2 linked regions of the Kluyveromyces lactis genome follow. The protein of the gene in region 1 purifies or fractionates together with the protein of each later gene. This does not show direct contact. Links are inferred from orthologs where the notes say so. Each region holds a gene or a part of one and is shown in the gene's direction. Other genes may lie near its edges. The genes, in order: EDE1 and HRR25.

Region 1 (4,295 bases):
GATTATGAGACACGGGAAAAGAGAAAGAGCTGAGAAGATTCTTTCAAGAGCGTTATATATTGTGTTCTGTCAAACAAGGAAAGACCCGGTAAAAGTTTTGAAAGAATCCTTGGATGTGTTGGCGCCTCTTATGGTTATCAAGACCTTCAAGACTGGTGTCGCAAAGGCCACTGTGGTTCCAGTTCCATTGAATCAAAGACAAAGGTTTAGATTAGCTTGGAAATGGATTGTGGAAAGTTCTGTGAAGAGATCATCGAGCGATTTCTCAGTAAGACTTGGTGAAGAATTGGTATCTGTCTTCAACGGTAATAGTTCAGGTTTCGAAAAGAGAGACTCTATTCATAAGACTGCTATTGCACACAGAGCTTACATTAACCTAAAATGATCAAAGTTCCAACCTCCACTGTATTTACTTGAATAAACCTGTACATATGTATACGTGAAATATAAATGAACGTTATCGATTTTCATAGTTATGCTGAATTTGTTGCTCTATCTTATATGCAATTCCTAGGCCCAGCAGACTTCCCGAAAAATTGGCCAAAATATCGTTTACATCAAAGGACCTTTTTCCTCGTGAGAGGAACTGTTGTGCAAATTCACTGCTCGTACTGGCACATACGCAGCATACAATAAATGCCAATAGATATTTGTTCATGGAAAAAGGTTCGTACGCAGCCAAATTCCTTGATCGTAGTCTTTTGGGGATGAATGCCGGCAACTGTACGGTATCACATTCAAACATCATGGTAAACAGAACGGTTTCAATGCAAAATACTATGCAATGGGCGAGCTTATCATGAGTTGATGTTATTAGCTTTAACCTGGCATCAGTAGTTAATCCGAGGAAGACAACAAAACATACACTCGAGAAAAATGTTACTGCGTATTTATATCTTATCATTTATCAATTTTCATAAAAACTCTCAATAAGAGTTGCATACACTCTACACAATTTCTAAATGAAGTGATAAACTCAACTCTCTCATCGCATTGGAAACCTTAATCCTACATCAATGCTTCACTTCTTTATGCGATCCGAAAGTCATCTTGCACGATTATATAGTTTCATCATCTTTTTGAGATAATTGAATAACGACAAATTGGATCAAATGGTCGAAACCCCTTTCGTGAAATATAGCCGATAAACTGCAACAGATACACATCCACCACGCCTCTGGGAACCATGTCAGGTATTGCGTTCCGTGTACCCCTCACTAGTGAGGAAAAGCAAGCATTTTCCCAGCACTTTTCTCGGTTAGATAGAGAACAATTGGGAATTGTGACTGGAGAAGCTTTAAGACCTTTGTTTAGTCAATCAGGGTTAACTCCGCAACAGTTGTCGCAAATATGGACCATTTGCGATACCGAAAACGCGGGCTTCTTAACTGTTGATCAATTTAACGCCGCTCTAAGAATGGTTGCGCACTTACAGGAAAATCCAGGTGCGCAAGTTACTTTAGAATTGTATCAGACTCCTGCTTCGAAGCTCCCTTCATTCGGACAAAGTCAAAAGTTCAACTCTGCTTCTACACAACCATCTATCCCACCACCATCAAATCAGTCTCATTCTGTCCAGAGAGTCCCCTCTGTTATCAATAGATCGGTGAGCAGAACTAATACGGGTTCGTCGCCAACTTATTCCGTCATTCCTGTATGCACTCCTCATGATTATGCCAAGTTTGCCCAATTATTTGACAGATCAACGGAAGAAAGCGGTTTCCTAGCTGGTAATAAAGCAAGAGAAATCTTCCTTAAAGCAAAGTTACCAACTCAAACTCTAGGTACTATTTGGGGGTTGTGTGACAGGAGCAATAGCGGAAGCTTGGATAAAGTGGAGTTTGTTATGGCGATGCATTTGATTCAGCTAACACTACAGCAAAACGCAGCCGTTCAAAACTTACCTTCTACTTTGCCAAATTATTTGTGGAATTCTTTGAATAGTACAGCATCTTCTACTCTGACTCCACTGAGCGCCAATAACACAGGCTTCTCTTTCACATCTGGCAGTGGATCTGTTGTCAGAAATCCGGGAATTATCAGAAAACCTTCTTTGTCCAGACTTCCATCCGGTACTTTTTCTAATGCTGCAACAGATTGGACCTTGACTCTTGAAAAAAAGCAGCAGTTTGACGCTATTTTCGATTCTTTGGATAAAGAGAAAAAGGGTTCCTTAGGTTCTAACGTCTTAGTTCCATTTTTTTTGACATCGAAATTGGGACAGGATGTCTTAGCAACTGTGTGGGATCTTGCTGATATTCATAACAGTCCAGTTTTCACTAAGGTTGAATTTGCGATTGCAATGTTTTTAATTCAGAAGAAGAATGCCGGGATCGAATTGCCAGATGTTGTTCCTGATCAATTATTAAATTCGCCAGCTTTAGGTTTGTACCATCAACAACAACAACAACAACAACAACAGCGCATTAGTGTAGCAAGCACCGGAGATGCTGGTCAAAATTACCAAAATTTTGCAGCTCCGGTTCAAGCTCAGAAAACCAGTAATAGCGCTCTGGATGACTTGCTTGGTCTAAATGAATCATTCACTCCTCCGCCTCCATCTCTTCCTTCCCAGCCACAATCATCGGCTCAGCCTTCAACACATTTGGCACCAAATGCTAGGAAATTTAGACCTTCATCTACATTTGGACAAACCATTATCCCTGAAGAAGGTGGTAACGACCAGCAACAACAACAACAGCAGCAGCAGCAGCAGCAGCAGTATATGCAAACTGCTCCTACACACGTAGGCTCTGCAGCTCCTCCTCCACCACCCACTGCACGTAATTCTTCGTTACCAAGTGTTCCAAACTTTGGAGGTGTTTCTGTCCCTTCGAGGGAAGTCACTTCTAACAATCGTGAAATTGTGCCACCGGCATCGCTTTCTCAGGCCACTACTGAACTTGCAAATCTCTCCACTCAGGTGAGTTCATTAACGACACAAGCTACGAAAGTTCATGAAGAGAAAACAGCTGCTCAGAATGAACTTACTCGTATAACTAACATGAAGGCATCGATCGAGACTAAACTCATTGGTTTGCGTGCGTCTTACAATGAAGAAGTTCGTCAAACGGAGGAGATACAGACGCAATTGAACGCTCTTCGTGCACAAAACGAAGAGTTAAGTCAACAAGCTTCTGTTGCAGAGGCAAATTATCATGCTGTGCAGACTCAGAACGAGGATTTGCAAACACAGTTGCAACAAGCTCAAGAAGAGGAAAGGCAGTTAAAGGAGAGGTTGGCCCAGTTTAACACTTTGTCCTCTCAGTTACAGCAACAGTTGGCTGAAGTTCAAGAGAATGCTAAAGCTGAAAGATCCAGAGTCGATATTCATGCCAAGCAGTTAGAACTTTCAGAGATGACTGCCAACAATCTTCAAACAGAAATTCAAAGTCTTGAACAAACCCTTGGTATCTACTTATCAAAGCACAAAGAATTGGATGACTACAAAGCTACTATTGAGGCTCAGCACGCTGAGATGGAAAACAAACATAAGCAATACCTTGCAACTTCTGAAGAAGTACATGCACGTGAATTGGAAGTTCAATCCAGAACAGCAGAGATAGAAAAGCAGGAACAACTATACCGTGATCAAGTATCGAGGTTGCAAGAACTATTTAATGATTTGAATAAAAGGAAGTCGGAGTTTGAAGCAGCAAATGCAGAGTTTGAGAAGCAACAGTATGACTATGCCGATAGAGTCCAAAAATTCTCTGAGAATCAAATGAAGTTAGCCATGGGAGAAACCCCTGATGATGAGTATACAAACGAATTGATTCAAAAAAGACTGCAAATTCAGACTGCCCAGCCAGCTGAGGAGGAGGAAAAACCAGAAAGTGTTTTCGACAAAGATGTTCCAACTCCTGTCTCACAAACTGAACCTGACGAAGAACAAAATCAACAATTAGAAGATGATCAATTAAGCGAGCAGCAATTACATGACCAGCAGGGTAATGATGAAGTTGCTGCCGAAGCGATGGCAGATTCTTTCGAAGGAAGTTTAAACGAATACGGCATCCCTAGAACAGAATCTGTCACATCGTCGACAGCCAACAATCCACCTCAATCAGTTAGAGACGAAGTCGAGAGTGAGCCAAAGGAAAACGCTGTCCTAGACATTGATCAACAGCTGGAAGATGCTGAAAACAATGATATTACTAAACAAGGGAGTGAAACTGTACAACCAGCTTCTACTGATGAACCATTACCAGGTGGATGGTCTACTGGTTCTACGTTAGAAAAGGATCAAATATCAGATTCCGATGCTGACTCGATCAAGAAGACACCAATTTTAG
Region 2 (3,806 bases), on another chromosome or scaffold:
AGGATATCCACATCATTTAGTTCAACTTTAATACCAGTTTCTTCCCATATTTCACGCTGGCAAGCGTGCTCCACAGTTTCTGCAGGTTCCATGAAACCAGCGATGGTGGAATACATTACCGCGTTACCGTGCTTTCTTCTTGATCTTGCGAGACATATTTTTGAGAAACATCTGTCTACGATTGCAACAATGACCACTGGATCTGTTCTTGGGAAACACACATTTGAAACAGCTGCGTCCCTTACCGAGCATTTAACAGATTCGTCGTTATTTCCACATTGTAATTTGGTTCCACCATGGACAGGAAATACTTTCGATGCACATCCGGGACAAAACAAAAACTTTCTCAGCCAATCTAAGTACATGTTTGCATGAGAGAAGAGCGAAGCAACTTCATTGCTTAGGTTGAATGCTTGCATCCTCCCAAGTGGTTCGTATTGATCTAGTATGAACTTTGTCTCCGACTTTTGAACTAGAGTATCGGACGCTGGCCGCAAATCCATGGCAAACAATGGGGTACCGGTGTACTCCTTGTAAGAAAAACTGCTGTCACCATCCATCAACCCTAAAAACGTTATTGTGAACCCGGATTCAACTAACCATCCTCTCTCGGTATCCATGACAGATCTTATCTTGTTTAGTAAGCCTGGCCATTCCGAGTAGTTAGGACAACCTTGATGTCCTAACATTAATAAATTGGTACCAGACTTGTCACTAGTCTCAGTTGCGAATGCTGCCCCATTGATAAACGGTACAAACTGAGTACTTCCATGTTCGAACGCTTGCTTGATGAAAACCTCGTCGTCCCTTAGGAATGACACTCTATTGATAGTTTCCAATCCGAAAAAGGTTACACTTCTTTCCATATGTACTGCGCTATCAGGCTAACCACACTATACGGGTACTAAATTGATCGAACTCCAAGTACAACAACCTCTCCAGCGATCAAAACGACAATGCGACTAGGTTGTGCACTGAATATACACGTATAAATCCAACTGTTCCCGGTCATTATGTGGATGTGACTGCAAACCATGCTTTGGAAATTACCCTACCATATATCACGTGATCATAAGTTTCTACTATCCCCTTCGTAGAAAAAAGAAACACTATTATTTTTTGTACCAAAAATTGAAATTGAAATCAACTTAACCACAATTAATCACCATGTTTGATATTTCATTGGTGGAGTTAGAGCATTAGACGGAGAATTTAGTGGGCCATTTGGTGTCATAACACAGGTTAACTGATACGGAAACTCAGATATCAAAGTATAGTTTCAAAACGTCCATCTTTCCCCAACTATATACTTAGGAATTTGACCTTTTTTTTGGTCTCTGTTTTGGTTTATTTTTTTTTTTTTTTCATTTCAGAACTTCAGGTTTAGTTGCAGAATTTCCCTCTCAATTTTGTGAAGTTGAGAAGCAATAAAGCAACAAGCAACTGACATATCTCACTGTACGTTTGTTTCCAGTTGAGTTTGATTATAGGATAAAAATATCTTACTTGATATTTCTGGTATTTGAGCTTGTACATGAGAACGTGGATATAAAGACTTATTTTGAGGTTCTGCGGTATATATACTTTCATTTGATTAGAAATATTGAAGGTAAGACGTGAACAGGAGAAGACAGACATAAGGAACGAAAAAGAAAGATGGATTTAAGAGTTGGTAGAAAGTTCAGGATTGGGCGGAAGATTGGCTCTGGTTCCTTTGGGGACATTTATCATGGGACTAATTTGATTAGTGGTGAAGAAGTCGCTATTAAGTTGGAGCCGATTCGTACGAAGCATCCTCAATTAGACTATGAGTCTCGAGTTTATAAGTATTTGAGCGGCGGTATTGGAATACCATTCATCAGATGGTTTGGGAAGGAAGGTGAATACAATGCTATGGTGATCGATCTTTTGGGTCCGTCTTTGGAAGATTTATTTAACTATTGTCATAGGAAATTTTCTTTTAAGACCGTAATCATGCTTGCTCTGCAGATGATCTGTCGAATCCAATACATTCATGGCAGATCTTTCATTCATAGAGATATTAAACCGGACAATTTCTTGATGGGTGTCGGAAGACGTGGATCCACCGTGCATGTTATTGATTTTGGTTTATCCAAGAAGTATAGAGATTTTAGAAGTCATAACCATATCCCATACCGAGAAAATAAGAACCTTACTGGTACTGCACGTTATGCCAGTGTCAATACGCATCTTGGGATCGAACAAAGTAGACGTGACGATTTGGAGAGTTTGGGTTACGTGTTGATATATTTCTGCAAAGGGTCCTTACCATGGCAGGGGCTCAGAGCCACGACAAAAAGACAAAAATACGACCGTATCATGGAAAAGAAATTGTGCATCACCGTCGAACAACTATGTCAAGGTTTACCTATGGAATTTGTTGAATACATGAGATATTGTAGGAACCTCAGATTCGATGAAAGACCAGATTATATGTATTTGGCTCGTTTGTTCAAGGATTTGTTCATCAAGTTGGAATACCATAATGATCATTTGTTTGATTGGACCATGTTGCGTTACACAAAAGCCATGATCGACAAACAAGGAGGCGCCCAAGCATTGGAACAAAAAGATGAAAATGGTAATAAACAGGATTCATTTGATAAAGTGAAACAATTGGCTATGAAGAAATTTTCAACACATTTCCACTATTGGAAACCAGATGATACTTCTCATCCAACTGCTGAAGACATAAAACAACAGACTATCCTAAACACCCAAGTTATCTCCACGATCCCAGATGAAGTCATGAATGCTATCGACAGAAACATGGAACAGTTGAAGCACGAAGTGAACCAACAGGTGGCGTCTCAACCACAACAAGGACAACCACAAGGACAAACTCAGGGACAAGGACAAACTCAGGGACAAGGACAACCACAATCAGGTCAGCAACTAGATACACAGTTACCTCAACCTACCACGTTACTACAACAGCAAAGGGCACAAGTTCAAGGTCAACAAGAACAGATGTTACAACAGCAACAACAACAACAACAACAACAGCAGCAACAACAGCAGCAACAACAGCTTCTGCAACAGCAACTGCAAACACAACAACAAACGCATCCAAATGCAATGGCTATCACCAACCCACTACCAAACCCTAATAACACCACCAAAACTACCACTACCAATAATATCTGGCTTTAAACGCAAAAGACGAAAACAATGCGCAAACAGTTGCAAAATCTGTAGAGTAGAAAAAATCACACACGCTCATACATATATACAACTCATCATCAGTTAATCATGGGCTTCTAACCCACATTGGTTATAAATTATAACTCGGAAATCTGTTACCTAATTCACACTTATATTTCTTTCTTATATGTACTTGAATAGTGGAACATGGGGGAGAACACACACAGGGATTTTCTCACCAACATGAGCAACCATGAAAGTAAGCTGGTTACTGAATCGGCAGCTGACACAGGTTTACGGTACTCGCAGTTCACAGCTCATTGTTGCTGCTGCTGAAGTTTCCCTCCTCATCCTTGGCAAGGCCATTATCGCAATATACGAATTCCACTACTAAATATCGAAAAAGGGTTTCTGTTCCTCACATGAACAGTGAATTGTGAAAAACTAGACCAAAGGAAAACTAACAACAAAAGGAGAGTCAACTGTGGTGAGAAAAAGAGAGCAATCTAGGGCGCATTGAGTCTTGAAAAAGTGCAATATCCATATAAGACTATCAGTCCAAAGCTATAATTAAGGCAAAAACTGGTTTGTCCCATTTTGTACTGTTTATTCATTAGAGTAAACTAGGGGATTTTGACCCC

The links.
Region 2: the proteins of EDE1 (region 1) and HRR25 purify together in Saccharomyces cerevisiae (affinity purification with mass spectrometry; 4 studies listed by BioGRID, with this or other methods). This does not show direct contact. The link is inferred for Kluyveromyces lactis from reciprocal best matches to the Saccharomyces cerevisiae genes EDE1 and HRR25.

Annotation. Positions count from the first base shown.
Region 1 is NC_006041.1:513,895-518,189, forward strand, and holds the start of EDE1 (Ede1p), read left to right. Parts: upstream 1-1,186; coding exon 1,187-4,295. Other genes in the region: RSM7 (mitochondrial 37S ribosomal protein uS7m), read left to right, coding at 1-385; KLLA0_E05765g (uncharacterized protein), read right to left, coding at 458-904. UniProt on the Saccharomyces cerevisiae protein: Functions at the internalization step of the clathrin-mediated endocytosis (CME) as an early-acting scaffold protein. Requires clathrin adapter proteins, ENT1/2 and YAP1801/2, for normal spatiotemporal dynamics and viability.
Region 2 is NC_006040.1:264,105-267,910, forward strand, and holds HRR25 (serine/threonine protein kinase HRR25), read left to right. Parts: upstream 1-1,656; coding exon 1,657-3,174; downstream 3,175-3,806. Other genes in the region: NPY1 (NAD(+) diphosphatase), read right to left, coding at 1-866. UniProt on the Saccharomyces cerevisiae protein: Protein kinase which phosphorylates serine and threonine residues. Can use casein as a substrate. Phosphorylates elongator complex member ELP1/IKI3 on 'Ser-1198' and 'Ser-1202' which promotes the tRNA modification function of the complex.